Linked DNA regions of Alligator mississippiensis. The protein of the gene in region 1 binds, or shares a complex with, the protein of each later gene. Links are inferred from orthologs where the notes say so. Each region holds a gene or a part of one and is shown on either strand. Other genes may lie near its edges. The genes, in order: ANP32A and NME1.

Region 1 (8,099 bases):
AGCCAGAGGCAGCATGAGTTGCATATTAAAGAGAATGAATGGGAGCAGCCTCAGACTGAGAAGCTAGTATGTATGACACTATCGCTTTATGCTGTATATTCAGTCCAGCATCGCTGAGTAACAGAAAACTGGATCTCTCTCCTGGTGGCAAGCTGAGATGCTATTATGCAAGGCACACCAAATCATGCTCTGACACTGGAGTAAGAGACTGCCTTGCTCCGGGTTTGGCAAGGTGTGGCAGAAGTACTGCAAACCCTGCACAAAATCCAACAGTACAGTGCCCATGTCCCAGTAAAGCGATTGCTAAACCTCAGTTCGCACTCTTGTTAGATTGTGAAGACCCAGGTACACTTAATACACTTTACAGACTATGTGCTCACAGGAAACATTATCACAAGTATACACTAGCAAAGGCAATATGAGGAAGTAACTTTTTTGTTGCAATCTTTGGTGTAAAATGGAAACTTTCTGCACATTATATTGCAAAAAGCAGTTTCTCGGCTAGTCCCTACCATTAAAGAGATGTTTTACCTGTTGTTTTGGGGTTACATGTATTTAATAATAGTTTGCATTAATAAATCTTTCCACCCCATGTCTCAAAATACTCCATATGCATTACTGAATTACCTTTGCCACTCCCCTGGGCAGTTGTTATCCCATTTCACATCTGGGGGAAAATGAGGCACAGAGCTTAACTTTCCCCTAAGGGTAAATAGGAAGCCTGCGATAGAATAAAAAATAGGACTGACCTGAAACGATCCTTCCTGTTACTCTTGTGCGCAAGATGACTCCAAATTTGTATCAGATTTTATTCTTTTTGCACTAGATGGATTTTCATTTTGCTTTCTTTATATCGCAGAGAGTAAAGCCTTTTCATAGACTTTTCAGAGTAAAGTTTAATTTCCTGACTCAATTCCTTTCCATTCCACTACTCAGGCTCAGTATGCTCTCCACTATGAGTACACTCATTTTTCTTGATTCAGCCCATGATTCTGCTCATGCACTGAATAGTTGGTTGGAAGACAACAACAAGCTGGTCCATTATCAGTCGCAGTGTTATTTTTATATGGATATTTCTATGCTGCTTGTTTCTTTGAACTAGCAAAAAATTGCCACGACACAACTTGGTTTGTACTGCTGTGAACAAGCTCCTCTGTCACTTCTTGTCTGAGTTTCCCTGTTTATATTAGCTATTACTCCAAACATAATTTTTTTAACATAATTTGGAATACTAGAGATCTGGTTATGCAGCCAGTGTTTGCAAACAACTTGCAATGAAATCAAAGGGAATTGTTCATGTACAACTACCACCATGTATCTGCAGGTCCCAGGAGTCTTAGGAGTAAAAAAAAGAAAAAAGAAAAAAAAAGACATATTTCTCATTTGTCGTGAACTAATATAACTCAGGTCATTTTATTTATTACAAAACACAATTCTGGACAAAGCACCAAATCAGAACAAACCTGAAGCTTGGATCTAGATCTAATCTTTCTCACTCCTGGGTAACCTAGGATAGATAGACACAAGGGTGAAAGCCATTAACACTAGCCTCCAGCCATCGTCCTCACTACCCCTTCCCTTTTTTCTTCTTCCAAAAGATTTTAAGCACTGGACTTTTAAGAGGCCAGGAGACCTGAACTCACTGCTGCAGGCACAGTAAAGATCTATTAGGTTTAAGCAGCAACTGAAAGCACACATACTTCACAAAATTAAAGAAACAAGGAGTGCACTCGAGAGTTTTGGAGCACAGCAGGGGAAACCAGGCTGCTAGAATCAATTTTTAGACATTAATTAGTATTTGTTATCCTCTGCCCATGTAGTTACTGACAGATTCCTCTGTAGCTAAGGAAAAATACAATAATATGGGCAATCATACAGATGAAGTAGAGGCACAGGTTACACACTGGGTGAAATGTTTATCAGCAAAGACTCTTGCACCCACAGTATTAACTGTTCACTGTATTTGGAAAACAATGGCATACCAATAGAAATTTTGGAGTATTTTCACCTTCCCACAGAAAATAAATTAATGATTGGCTCAACTTCCTGTCATTACTATACAAGGACTCTGGTCACACCCCATGCTTAGTTTCTCTAAACCTGCAAGATCCCATAAAACTCATAAGAAAGCAATACTTTGAGGTTGATAACAATATATCTAACGTAAGATGGATCTGGCAATCATATTCAGGGAAATGCCTACTGAAATAGCCCTGTTAAGGTGGTATTTTGTAATCACTTGAAATAAACACTATCTTTCCGCATTACGAAGAGAACAAAATTATGTCTTTATTAATTTAAACAATATAATCACGCATATGTTATTTTAAGTCTTCTCTTGTGTTGTAAAAGGGATCGATATCACACAAACCACGTTACAGTGATGACACAAAAATGTAATTTGTTTACAAAACTGTATCTACCCACGACAATCATCTGAAATGCATTAACAGTTGTGAAGCGTGGCTCTCGTGTTTGGGCGCTTTTTCTCTGCTGGGAGAAACAATGCCAAATCCATAAATATGTACTCTGATTTTCAACTTATGGAGGATTGGGCGGGGGGAGCTATATATATATATTAGTTTGTCCACCCCCCATAGATATATTGATTCCTAGATAGATAAACAGATAGAAATGGAAACATTTCCATGTGTATTTTCTTCAAAATATTGGTGTGATCTCACCTATAGAGGATGTATATGTATCATTCATTTTAAGAAGCATTTTTTTAATGTTATACAAGCGAACAAAAACAAAGCTAAACTTTATTGCACAAGTCTTTCATTTGGATGAAAGTGAAGGAAAAATATTTATATTACTCAGAAACCTTTTTTACAATACAACTCTACTTAAGGCCATTACACTTATTCCCACGGTAAACGCGACTTTCCCGAGGCGTTCAGCTCCACTGTTCACACTCAATCCAGGCCAAAATTGTGCATTTGTTTTTTTCTACAGAGCCAGTTTTGCCTGCACGTGAAAAGGACGTGCTACTTTTAAACTAAAATTCACTCACGTACCCAGGAACCTTAAAAATGTTTTACAAACATTACTTTTTATTTTTTTTTTTTGCCAATTTACTTAATTTTGGTCTTAGTGGAACGTGCAGCAGAAGTAAATAAAAATGACCCATCCAAGGGTCAGACGGAGTCAGAAGCAGGGCCAAAATAAGAAGTCAGGCATCTAGGCTCTGATCTACTGTTTAGAAGACGAGACCATCTGTAGGAAACGAGCAACTATCTTTTTGATCGCCTTCGAGACACTTCTGCTACCAATTATCAATTGACTGTTGGGGGGGGGTGTTTTTGAGTATTTTTCAACATAACTTGGCTCCCACTTCTCCCAGGAAATGTACATGGGGGTCACCACTGAAGTGCCTTACCTTGCCCGTCGCTCACCGTTTTGCACACCCGTGCACAACGAAGCGCTAGAGGCCGTGACTGCGCTGCCCACCGCCACCCCCCCACCCCCCGTGACACAGCCCGGCGCGGGCCGACCGGACACCTCGCGGGCGAGCCTCGGACCCTGCCACACGGCCAGCACGGAGCTCACCTCAGACTAGATCACCTGAGGGAGGTCACCTCAGAGTAGGTCACCTGAGGGAGGTCACCTCAGAGTAGATCACCTCAGAGCAGATCACCCAGGGGAGGTCACCTTGGAGTAGATCACTGCAGGGAGGTCACCTCAGGCTAGGTCACCTGAGGGAGGTCACCTGAGAGTAGATCACCTCAGAGTAGATCACCCGGGGGAGGTCACCTTGGAGTAGATCACCTCAGGGAGGTCACCTCAGTAGATCACCTCAGAGCAGATCACCCGGGGAAGGTCACCTTGGAGTAGATCACTGCAGGGAGGTCACCTCAGGCTAGGTCACCTGAGGGAGGTCACCTGAGAGTAGATCACCTCAGAGTAGATCACCCGGGGGAGGTCACCTTGGAGTAGATCACCTCAGGGAGGTCACCTCAGACTAGGTCACCTGAGGGAGGTCACCTCAGAGTAGATCACCTCAGAGTAGATCACCTCAGAGTAGGTCACCTGAGGGAGGTCACCTCAGAGTAGGTCACCTCAGAGTAGGTCGCCTGAGGGAGGTCGCCTGAGGGAGGTCACCCCAGGGTAGATTGCCTCAAGGAGGTCACCTCAGAGTAGATCGCCTCAGAGTAGATCACCTCAGAGTAAGTCACGTCGGAGTAGATCACCTCAAGGAGGTCACCCCGGAGTAGATCGCCTGAGAGGTCGCCTCAGAGTAGATCCCCAGCCCCTTCATAGGCCAGGAGGGAGATCACCTCAGGGTGGATCCGCGCCCTCCCCCACGCGCGCGAGGCGGCGCCCCCTCTCCTTCCCCCCCACCCCCGCGCGAGCGCCCCCCTCACGCGCGCCACGAGTGTCCGCACGGCCCCGGGGGGCGGAGGCGGGGCGGGGGCGGGGCGGGGGCTCCCGCGGGCGCGGGCGGCTCCGCGCCCGTCCGCCAGCAGCGCGGAATGCCCGTCGCGCGCCCGCCCGCCCGGCGCCGGCCCGGCCTCGCCTCTGCCGCCATTGGCCGGCGCCGCCCCTCGGCGCGCCGCATTGGCCGGCGCCGCCGGCTCGGGCGCGCCCATTGGCGGGCGCGGCCGCCCGTCCCCTCCGAGTCCCCACGGCAGCGCCCGCCCCCGCAGCCATCAGGTTGGGGTGTCCGCCGCGGGGTGGTGGGCTCGGGGATCCCGAGCGGAGCTGGTTGCGCGCTCACAGTCCCTGGCCGCGCTGGCGTTGGGGGGGTCCGCCTGGGTGTCACTGCACGCGACGAGCCGGGCCAGCCACGGACATGGACATGAAGAAAAGGATCCACTTAGAGCTGCGGAACAGGACGCCCTCGGATGTAAGCCATGCATGCATGCATGCAAAAAAAAAAAAAAAAAAAATCGAAACCCCCCCCTCTCTCCCCTTTTTTTGCGGGAGGGGGGGCGCATTGCAAAGCGAGGGGTGCCCCATGCCCTGCCAGCACCCCCCGGCGTGCACCCCTGCATGCACGCCTGGGGAGGGGAGGAGGGGGGGCAGCCCGATGCTGCATTTGGAGGGGCTGCAAGAAAAGACAAGTTGCTGCCCCTCTCCGGCTGGGCTTAATTTTTTTATTTTTTTTTTTTTGGTGTGTGTTGTTGTGTGGTGGTGTTTTGTTTTGTTTTGTGTGTGTGTGTTGTGTGTGTGTTTTCTTTTTTTTTTTTTTTGCTTTGCAAAAGGTTTGCAGCGGGTGCTGGCCCGGGGAGGGACTTGGGAAGGGCCGGGAGTTTAAAGTGCGCCTTCATTTCTTTGCAGTGATCAGGCAGGAGAGACTGGGGAGCCATATTTGTAACTTTGTAGTCCTCATGAACGCGCCCTTTCTCTCTCCCTGCCTCTCTCCAGATGCTTGCCAGACCCCAAACGCCCCGGGTTTTTAAAGACAAAAGCAGCCGGGTTGAGCTGCCCGCCCAGCAGACACGCTCCTGGGGGGCGAGAGGGCAGAGGAAAGCGGCGCAATCCCCCTCGGCCGGGCGGGCGGGCGGGCGCTCTCCGTGCACACACACACACACACACGCACAAAAAGGCGGTGTGGGTTTTTTGCAGCTCGGGGTTGGACTTTGCTGGGTGGTTCAGCTGAATAAACGGGGACAAGAAACTTTGTCAGGACGAAAATAGTCCCCGAGTGGCTGCGTACCAATGATGCGGAGGGGGGGAACCCCCCCCAAACCCCCTCCCTAATCATCTCTGTGCTTTTTTTGTTGTTGTTGCTTTTTGCGTTGTAAGAGAGAGGCACAGCAAAGTTGGGAGGACCCCCCCTCCTCTTCCTCGCCTCTTGCCCGATGCACCCCAGGACCAAGGAGGGGTGCACCCCTTCCTGGGGGAGGGGGGGGCGGACCGGAGTGCAACCCCCCCAGCAATTGGGGGTCCGCCTCCCGGGTCCCACATGGGGCTGATTTGGGGAGGAGAGGTCATTACATAATGGCTTAAATAACAGCGCGGTGGGTCGGGGGGGGGGAAGCGGGGAGGATTCAGGTCGTCCCCCCCACAACCACCCTCCTTGTGCCACAAGGGCAGGGGGGAGCTGGGCAGCAGGATGCTCGGTGCAACCTGCGCTTTAAAGTTGCAAAAAGTCCAGGGCGGGGGGGAGCCGGGCCGAGCCCGGGGCTCGCGGTTGCGGGCGCCCGGGGACAAAGGGGCGAAGCCGGGGAGCTGAAATGCAACCCCCCTCCCGCCCTCCCAACTTTGCATCCCCGCCTGGGCAGGCCGCGGTGCAGCCCAAGTAGGACAAGGCGCCATGTTGTTGGGGGTTTTTTGGGGGGGGTCTTCCCCCTGTCGAGCTCGGAAGGAGAAAGGGGGGTGGGCAGGGGGGGCTGCCTCGGTGCAAACGCGCCCGGGCTGCTCTCGGGGGGGGGGGGGGGGGGTATGTGCAAGCGGCGGTGTGCGTGCATGCAAGGGGGGGGGGGGGGTGGTTTTAATCCTCGCCGGCGCAAAAGTTTCTCCCGATCCGCCCTGCCCTGCTGGCGAAGCCCTTTGTGGCGGCGCCCGGGTGCGGGGCGGCTTGTGCACGCGTGTGCAAGGCAGAGCGCGCGTGCAACATGACTGCCAGCGCTCAGGTCTGCCATTTTGTCACTGTTGTCGCGGAGTTGGAAGGGGAGGAGGCGGCGGGGGGAGGGGGAGGAACAAGCCAAGAAGACAAAAAGCTTTTTTTTTTTTTTTCTTTTAAATCCCCCCCCTCCTCCTTTTATCCTTTTTGATGATTTAAACAGAAAAGCGGGGTCCCGATCCCCGGAGTGGAGTGAGCTGGGCTGGCGGTGGCAGGGGGCTTGCTTTCCCTGGCAGCTGGCAGGAGCCTGTGTCTTTAAATCGAACGTTGGTACCTCGAAATGGAACGTCGCGGTCGCCAGCGTTCCATGCGGCTGCAACATTCCGAGGGGCGGCTCGAGCCTCCCCCCACTGCGCAGCGATGCTGGTGGATGGGCGCGGGGTTGTTATCCAGGCCCCACAGTGCTCCAGGGGGGACAGAGGAGGTCGTTTGCGTCATGCAGGGTTTTCGGGGGGGTCGGGTGGGGGGGAGTGATGATCCAAAATGCCTGCTGCAGCTTCCCAAGGCAGGGAGCGCATTATCGATGAGTGGGGAAGACGCCTTCTTCCTGGGCAGGGCCCTCCGGGAAGGTAGGTCTCTGGTGTGTGTGTGTGTGTGTGTGTGTGTGTGTGTGTGTGTGTGTGTGTGTTAATGGATTAATATCAGGGCTGCACCCCATTTTCAGCAGGGGCAGATTTTAGGATTTGATCCAAATGGGGACGTCTAAGAGGCAGGGGTTGTTTTGGTTTTTTTTAATATCCATTTATTTATTTATTTATTTATTTTGGTTAACTTCCTCCTCCTGGTTTGGATTGTTGCAAAGTCCAATTTTAAAAGACTTATTTTGCGCAGCAGCGTTGGCGGGGACGTCTTTAATTTGGATCTGTTTTGGAGCGAGACGTGCCGCCTGGACCGCTCTGTTCTTAAGATATAAGTGCCACCTTGTTTCACCTGCTCAGTCTTCGATTCGGTGAATTACCCCACCGCAGAGCAACTGCCGTGCTTCCGAAACGCAGCATTTCACCGTGCGCTTTTGCTTTGCCCTTCTGCAGGTTATTAAAGGGGGGAAATGCCGTTCAGGATTGCTGTTTTGTAATGCGGAATTTGGGTGGTGATGGATGCACACATGCGCCTTCTGATCTGGAGGAAGGAAGTGTACAGCTTGGGTCCTAGGCAGGCAAACTTCTTTGAGTAGATGTGATATCTTTTATTAGACCTCTTTAAAATGCCCCCTCACATTAGGGTTAGTTTATTGGTCCTTGTAGGGTTTGCACTTTTTAAAAGTTTACCCGTTATCCACCATTTTAGACGGATTTTACTGGACACTTCATCATTAATTCTTTTTTCTGTGAGGTCCTCCTTGCTTAGGTAAAGATGATGCAGTGTGGTTAGGAAGTAACTGGCAGATGCATGGTTCCCACTACTCTTTAACCTTTGGGTTTTGTTTTGGGTTTTTGGGTGGTTTTTTTGTTCTGCTGAGAGTGTTGTTTTTAAAGCCCCATGAAGAAATGTATTCCAGTAAGAAAATTAGCTTTCACAGTACAGAAGC
Region 2 (8,066 bases), on another chromosome or scaffold:
GCAGAATAGAGATGGAAACTATCTTTATTTTGTATTAAATTGGTAAACATTTAACAGTCATATGAAAAAAACTGTCCTCCAGAGATACTTCATCATCACAATGTTACTTTTATTTTCAGTCTGCCTCTTAACAGAATCCATATGTCTTTTCAATTAGGAAAGCCCTTACAAACCTTTAGCAAGTTATAATATGCCAGCAAGCTCTTAATGGGAAATGAGAGGATAAAAGAAGGATTTGTGGGATGCGCAATAAATGTACAGAACATACAGCTGAAGTGTGAAGGAGATGTCTCTGCTATACAACAGTGAACTGTTGATTGAGTCCAGCGTGTTTGTATACCACCTGAGATTTTTCAAGACAGACCTAACCCAAAGCCATGAATATGGACACCTGAAAAATATTTAGGAAATTGCAGATATGGACCCTAAATTCGTGGCTCTGGTCCCAAGTTTATCATGGTATGAGCTAAAACCCTATATATCTGTAACCCCAGGCAAGGGTAAAATTGCTGTCTGGTTCCAAGCTTCATAACTTAGTTTATATTTCTCTTTATAATTAGACTGAGAGAGCTGTGATGTGTAGCTGCACCAGCTTTGCATGTTGATGATTTGGTTATCATGACCACACCCTCTCATCTAGGGTGTATTTGATTTCTACTCAAATAATCTCCTCTGGGTAATGTCCCAGTTAAAATTTCATCCTAAACTCATTTGAGGCCTAATTTCCTTCTGCAGTATTTTTTTTTAAATCTATTTAATTTTCAAACAAACTGTCATTTCTAGGGATAGAGAAAATTTTGTATCTCACTACCTGGCAAACTCTCATTTTATCCGGTATTAATTCCTAAGGGCATGAATTGTACTTTTTCCTTTATTGGACACCACCTAGCATCTCAGAGTAACAGACAGGGCGCCTCCTACTCCTTAATGCTTAATTAGTTAACTAGGGGCACATCTACACATGCGCATTTAGTGCACAGTATAGCTATGTGTCTACATGTGCACGCCTGTACTGCACAGTAAATATGGTGACTTATGCTGACTTGAGCATAAATTTGATACCTGCATCATGCAGGTATCAAATTTACCCCCAGTTACTGCACAGTAATGCACATGTAGATGCCTTACTACGTAGTAACAGTGTGTGTGGATGGACTTGGGACTAATTTTAGTCCCAAGTCAGTCCACACACACAGTTACTAGACGTGCCCCTAGTAGTTTACTGCATAGTAAATTTAAGTCAGCGTAAATGCACGTGTAGACATGGCCTAGGGTGATCATTTATAAAAATTCCTTAATGTCTTAGCAAGCAACAAGGCTATGCATCCCTGTGGGTGGAAACATCTTTTTCTGTTTCTAATGATCAGCTTCCTGGCCACAACCAATTCAAAGGTACATATGACAAAATAGGAGCAGAGTGACAGGCCAGTAGGCAGGATATGATGAGCACCTACATAAATCCCCTTGCAACACATGCTTTCAGATTACAGTTTTTCTAAATGTGCTGATCCACGTAAGGAAACATCATCGGACTGGAAATAATACAGTCAGCAGACCATAGCCTATTAAAGCCATCCCCCTAGCTTGTAGGTTCCTGGGGAACCTCTGGCTGGATTGGAGTCCTAGTGGACTACCACAGCAATACGAAAGAAAGCCTCTCTGTTCTGTTTCTACTAACACTGCTGATGTAGAACAGATGGTCCTCAGAGAGCCCCCTCCTTTGATGGCTTTCAGCAAAGCACTGTGACCCATTTTTGCTGTCTGGCAATACATATGTGTCTGGAACTTCTGCATTTGCATTATTTGATGAAAATAATTGTCAATAAAATCCTACTTAGAGAAACTCAAACTTATCAACCTTTTCACCTTAGAGCCATCTCAGTTTGCTTACAATAATTCCTTTGTGAAAAAGGAAACGCTTCTTCTATATAAGGTTGCAAGGATGGAGTTAAAACCCCACCTCAGTCAGAAAGGTGCCTCTTCAAGACTGTCTGGATGATGGCATAATGGAGCCACTTTGCCGTCAGTGATATCCCTGCAAGGTTTAGTGAAGCCGTGTAGAAAATCCATGAGAAGTGGGTGTCACCACTGGTTTGAACAGCTGTGCAATGAGTAAAACGGTCACTTGAAGGATGAGAGAAATCCTGGAAGTCAGCTCCTCTCAACAGTCCCTTGCCAAGGAAATAGCAAAGGCAGAGAAACATAAGAAAGCTGCAGGTGATCTCTCCAGGGACAAAGACTAAAGAAAGACCATGTCTGATATGTATTCAAGGGTGTGATCCAACAGCTTAACTGAAAGTTTCATGTATGAAAAACATGCCAAATCAGACCTAAAATGGGATTACAACTGAAAATGTCATCTTGTTTTCCTCAGTTTGGGCTAGTAAACAGGTCAGCTGTGTGCCCCTGTACTTCCTAATTAACTCTCAGGCTCCTTTTTGGCTGGCCATACTTGTTTACGGTACTGGTTTAAGGAACATAACTCTTCTACATCTTCAAAACACTTGGCCACATTCTTTTCAATCTTGCACCTCCTCTAGTTTCCCTCTCTGCAGTCCCACCAGCTCGGTGGATTTAAACAAACGATGCAGACACATTTTAAGTTCAGTAACTGCCTCTGGATCAGGCCAAACAAAGGAAAGCGTAACGTAAGCTTCTGCTGCTCTCCAGTGGAAAATAACACAATTGCCGGTGGTAGATTGTCACTGCTCCATTCATTTGCCTTTTTAAACAGATTCTTCCCTAATCCCACGCTGGCAGGCAAGGTTCTTTGGGTAGATGTGATATCTTTTATTAGACCAACTGAGTAGTTGGGAAACAGTTCTCAGCAAGCTTTCGGGCACCATCACCCACTCTTGCACAAGATAACTGCATCACAGAGAAGTAGGACTGGAAGGGACTTCCTGAGGTCATCTATCCAAACCATCCCATACAAACCATCATCTATTCTAACCTCTCCATAAGAGGACCGTCAACCCTGACGGCACAGACCTAACCCCCTAAGCTGCCACACATGCAGCAGGGACATCGCAGCAGCCAGCGTCCTGCTTCTATGAAATGTTGTCCGTATACGCCCAGGAGATCCCGGGACTGGGCCAGTCCCATCCCTTTGTTACACCTCAGGAAGAAGCCGGGCTTTTTGTGCTCAGAGGCTGGCCAAGCCCCATGGGCGCAGCACGGGTCTGGGAGCCGTGAGCCCTTAAATCTAGTCCCAGGTCTGGCCGGTGACTCCGTTCGTCCCAAGCAAGGTTCCTGCGCCTCCTGTGAATGCTCCACGTGTCATCAGGAGGCGGCAGCAGCAGCGCAGGGCACGAGCCGTCCCTGCCCCGCGCCCCCAGCGCAGCCACCGGGCCAGGGCAGGGGGGCGGGGCCCGCAGGGCTCGGTGGCGTCACAATCGCCCGCGGTGTCCCAGGATTCCACGACGCGTCTCCCGCCCCGAGACATTCGCAAGAGCACCCCCGGCTCGCCCACCGACCCCGCCTCCTCCCCGGCTAAGCCCCGCCCCAGTGACGTCACGGCCCGCGCCCCTCCGCCCGTGACGCCACTGCCCCGCGCCCCGCCCTGGTGAGGTCAGTGCCGTGCGCCGCCGCCTCGCGCCCGGCCCCGCCCGCGCGGTAGGCGAGGCCCCGCCGCAGAGGGAGCAGGAGCTGCCGCCCGTCCCGTCCCGTCCCGTCCCGTCCCGCCGGAGCGAGGCAGCGCCGCGGCCATGGAGCTGGCGGACGGCGTGGTGTACCAGGAGGAGCCGGGCGGCCCGGGCCCCGCCATGATGTCGGAGCGGGTGTCGGGGCTGGCGGGCTCCATCTACCGCGAGTTCGAGCGCCTCATCGGGCGCTACGACGAGGAGGTGGTGGCCGAGCTGATGCCGCTCGTGGTGGCCGTGCTGGAGAACCTGGACTCGGTGTGCGCGCACAGCCAGGAGACCAGCGTGGAGCTGGAGCTCCTGCGCGACGACAACGAGCAGCTCCTCACGCAGTACGAGCGCGAGAAGGCGCTGCGCAAGCAGGCCGAGGAGGTGCGTGAGCCGCCCGCCCGCCCCGCCCCGCCTGCCTGCCTGCCTGCCTGCCCTGGGGCGGGGGACCGGCCCCCTCAGTCTCCCCTTCCTTGCCCCCCGCATTACCCCTCCCTTCCTTACCCCTCCCTTCATTATCCCCCCTCATTACCCCTTCCTTCATTGCCCCCCTCATTACCCCTCCCTTCATTGCCCCCCTCACTATTCCTCCTTTCATTGCCCTGCTCACTATCCCTCCATTCATTGCCCCCCTCATTACTCCTCCCTTCATTGCCCCCCTCATTATCCCCCCTCATTACCCCTCCCTTCATTTCCCCCCTCATTACCCCTCCCTTCATTTCCCCCCTCATTACCCCTCCCTTCATTGCCCCCCTCATTACTCCTCCCTTCATTGCCCCCCTCATTACTCCTCCCTTCATTGCCCCCCTCATTACTCCTCCCTTCATTGCCCCCCTCATTACCCCTCCCTTCATTGCCCCCCTCACTATCCCTCCCTTCATTGCCCCGCTCATTGTGCCCCCCCTTTATTGCCTCCCCAGGCAGTTTCCCTTGCAGCACCCTCTGGCAGCCCTGTGGCCTCCGCTGCCTCCCCTCCGGGTGCCCAAGCCACCCGGCCTCCTCCTAGCACTGGCAGAGAAGCCCCATGGCCCTTCCCGGTCCTTTCCCTCTTTCTCTTCCTGTGACTTTCGAGGTCGGCTCCCCTCGCCCCTCTCCTCGTCCTGGCTCCTCCACCCCACAGCTGGTTTCCTTCTCACTTAGCGATGCTGCTGGCAGGGCAGACCAGGGAGCCAGGCATTAAGGACTTCCCCAGCGCCCGCTTCCCCCTTCGGCAAATGCATGGAGGTTGAGGAGCTTGGGGGGACTTGGGGCTGTTACTTGTGAGTGGCCGGGGCGGCCGGCCTGGGACGTGGCGCTGCGTTGTGGCCTGGACAGAAGCAGCAAGGGTTTGTCCCTGTGGAAAGCTCAAGGGCCAGGGAATGGGACGCTTCAGCTGAGCAACAGGTAATGCAGGTTGCTCAAGACTGGTACTTGGCTGATGACAGTAAGCCGCCCGTGTGGGCGTTACAAGGTCATTCATTCAAATTCACATAGTCTTGGAGGGAGGAAAACAGGAAAGCTGCCCTTGCATCAGAACATCATCATTTTGTATTCTTACACTATCATTTGGGGCTTTAAATTTCTTTCTCCCAGGACACTGACTATGCCCATCTTTTTCCCTGAAGATTTTAGTCGAGTTTGCGTGTCCAAATCCATAAGAAGACTAATAGTCTCAGTGGAGATTCAGTGGCCAAATCTCCGAATCCAAATCGAATCGGAAGACCCTTTAATCGATTCAGAGAGATTTGGAAAGATTCGACAATTCAGCCATAGGCATAGCTTTAAATGTTTTTTTCCTACATACCTCGAGATACCAGGCGGGTCGTGAGTGCTGCGATGCTGGGGCGGGCAGAGTGTCTTGTAAGAGCGCAGGGGACTCCCCAGTGCGTTTGGCAGCAGACGTGGAAGTGAACCAGAAGCACTTCTGGGCCTGTCAGGGAGCATGCAGGGGGGCCCCCCCTGCGTCCTCCTCCAGCTCAATAACTAGTGCCTCCTGGGTCTGGGGGGCACACCTGGGGTCCCCCCAAACCCGATCACCAAGCTGTGGGGGGGGCCCCTGTGCACTCAGTACTTCCAGTCCGCTTCTGGGTTCGTTGCTGAGCATGCAGGGGTGCCTCCCCATGCTCCTGTGCGGGACGCTCCATCTGCCCCAGCATTGCAACGCTCACGAGTCAGGCCTGGTACCTCAAAGTATGTACAAAAAACATTTAAAGCTGCGTCTGTGGCTGAATCGCTGACTCCAAATCAGCATTGAATCTTTGGGTTTGGCCGAATCGAATCAGGGACAGCAGTCTGAATCAAGAAATTGAATCACTGTCCCCGATTCGGGTTGAATTTGAATTGAATACGGCCAGCTTTGCACACCCCTACAAAATATGATGCTATTAGTTGTATCAGTGCTCTTGGACTCTTGAGAAGTTGCAGATCTGTAGGTATTTCTGCAACTCTTGTGGTAACTTAATTGCTTCACGATCTATTTCTACCGATTTATTAACTGGACTAGATTTGCTGCCTAGTTGCTTCAGCAGAACTTGTTAGGAGTCTCAGAAACTATAACTAGCTTAGGGAATGGACATAACTTCTTTCCACCAATGTAATTTACAGCTGTTTGATACGTAGATATATGGCATACCCCGTTTAAAGTTATAGCCTGTCAACGGAGCTCCTTAAATATTGAATTCTGTCCTTGCTGTATCAGCACCCCTGAACCTGACTAAATACTGTCATTTTCAAGTCTTCTAATATCAGCCCCTTGATGGTTGCTTTCCCATTGTTGTGTCTGGTGCTAATTATGCAGTTAAACAGAGTATAATTACATCACCGAGTAGGTAGTTTTGTCTGAAAGGTTCTTTATGCTTCACTAGTGTAAGTACTTGGATGATATGCAGATAGCACAATGTCAAGCTCATGTTTTTCTTAAGCTAACCAGTAAAATGAATTTTACACTGATCCAGTATGCACAGAAGTGGAGTACACTGTTAAATGTACTGGGCTGCAGAGCAGTCTGACCTATGTGGTTATTTCCATGCAGTACACAGTCATTACAGTGCCCTGCAACTAGATTGTGGTGGAGCAGATAGTGGTTTGTTTGCTCTGGGCAGACCTGACACCCTGAGATAAGCTGCAGACGCATGACACTTACATCAGCGTAGTTTTGCCCCTGGTTTTTTCCTTGGGTAATTTTCTATCCAGTTTCAGAAGGTATACTGGTGTAGGACTGCATGGTGTTTGTTCCTCTTTTTTACACTTGTTTTTAAAAAAGAAAAAGTACGTAATGTCCATTCCCTCAAAGACCTAGCTTCTGCATGCGAGCACTGTTGTTCCTTCAGTTAGTATGCCTTGTACAGTCACTGTATTCAAGTTACTTACAGTTGTCCAGTTTTCAGATACATGCATGAAAACTTAATGGTCATAAAATCTAAGTGTGGTTTTTAGATTCTTTCATTGCGCTTACCTTCTGAAAATTTGGTTGGAATATGAGCTGTCGTAACAATTCTGCACCAGCCAGGACTCAAATGAAGGGGGAAAACATGAGTTTCAGGTTTGCAGTATTAGTTTTACAACAGGCACAGTGTTTTATGTAAAATGGTGGCTAAAATGGTGTTTTTGACCTTTTTGAGTAAACAACCAGTGGTAAATAGTTGTTTCCTCTCTGTGATAGTAAAGGGGTCCTAATAAAGGACTACTGTCGTACTTGGACTACTCTAAATGATTCTTCTCTCTTATAATGAGCATTTAGGAATTGTGATTTTGCAGTAGTCTCATGATTAATATTCACGTTTCATAGTTTGGAACATTCTTTGCTTAACTGTTCTTAAACCTGCATGCTCCATTTTTCTTTTTCTTAGTGGTAGTGTGCAATGTTGTGGAAGTTATGATTGTAGGGTTATTTCAGTGTCAGTCTTCAAAAATAAGAAGTAAAATTCTGTTAACTTTTTGAATGCTCTGTAGCTGCTCATCGTTCTTTCAGTGAATGATGCACGTGAGCAGTTTTCCAAATCGGGAAGAAGTCATCTGCATAAGTTGATCAACAGTCATGAATGTTCACTCTTGTCGTGTGATCTGAAAACTGAGGATGGGGGAGAGCTGGATATTTTGCCCGTGTCTTAAGTAATTTATTTTTACAAGGTGACTGTTGGGAAAACTGGTTGCTAAAAGCCCATTTCTGAGGTTCCTTGTACTAGAACCAGAAAAAGGAAGCCATTGGCAGGCTAGTGTATTTTATTTAGTAATACACTTCCAGTTGTTCTTGTTCAAATTCCCATAACAATCTTCTGCTAACTACCCAAGCCCAAATGTAGCCCTGTGCGCTCCTGTGGGAGCCACAATCTGACTTGATGGTACTTCTGGGCTTCTAAAACAATATGCAGCAACAGCAAGCAATTTTACTGTTGAGCTCAGTGGTTTATCCTGTATTTGGGCTTTACAGACTTGTCAATTTGCTTATGAAACTAAGCA

The links.
Region 2: ANP32A (region 1) and NME1 share a complex: the UniProt entries of both Homo sapiens proteins name them as parts of the SET complex. The link is inferred for Alligator mississippiensis from reciprocal best matches to the Homo sapiens genes ANP32A and NME1.

Annotation. Positions count from the first base shown.
Region 1 is NC_081834.1:3,202,913-3,211,011, forward strand, and holds the start of ANP32A (acidic leucine-rich nuclear phosphoprotein 32 family member A), read left to right. Parts: upstream 1-4,653; 5' UTR 4,654-4,795; coding exon 4,796-4,849; intron 4,850-6,548; exon of another isoform or gene 6,549-6,563; coding exon of another isoform or gene 6,564-6,581; intron 6,582-8,099. UniProt on the Homo sapiens protein: Multifunctional protein that is involved in the regulation of many processes including tumor suppression, apoptosis, cell cycle progression or transcription. Promotes apoptosis by favouring the activation of caspase-9/CASP9 and allowing apoptosome formation.
Region 2 is NC_081831.1:10,432,755-10,440,820, forward strand, and holds the start of NME1 (nucleoside diphosphate kinase A), read right to left. Parts: upstream 3,459-8,066; 5' UTR 1,961-3,458; intron 1-1,960. Other genes in the region: SPAG9 (C-Jun-amino-terminal kinase-interacting protein 4), read left to right, coding at 3,708-4,013. UniProt on the Homo sapiens protein: Major role in the synthesis of nucleoside triphosphates other than ATP. The ATP gamma phosphate is transferred to the NDP beta phosphate via a ping-pong mechanism, using a phosphorylated active-site intermediate.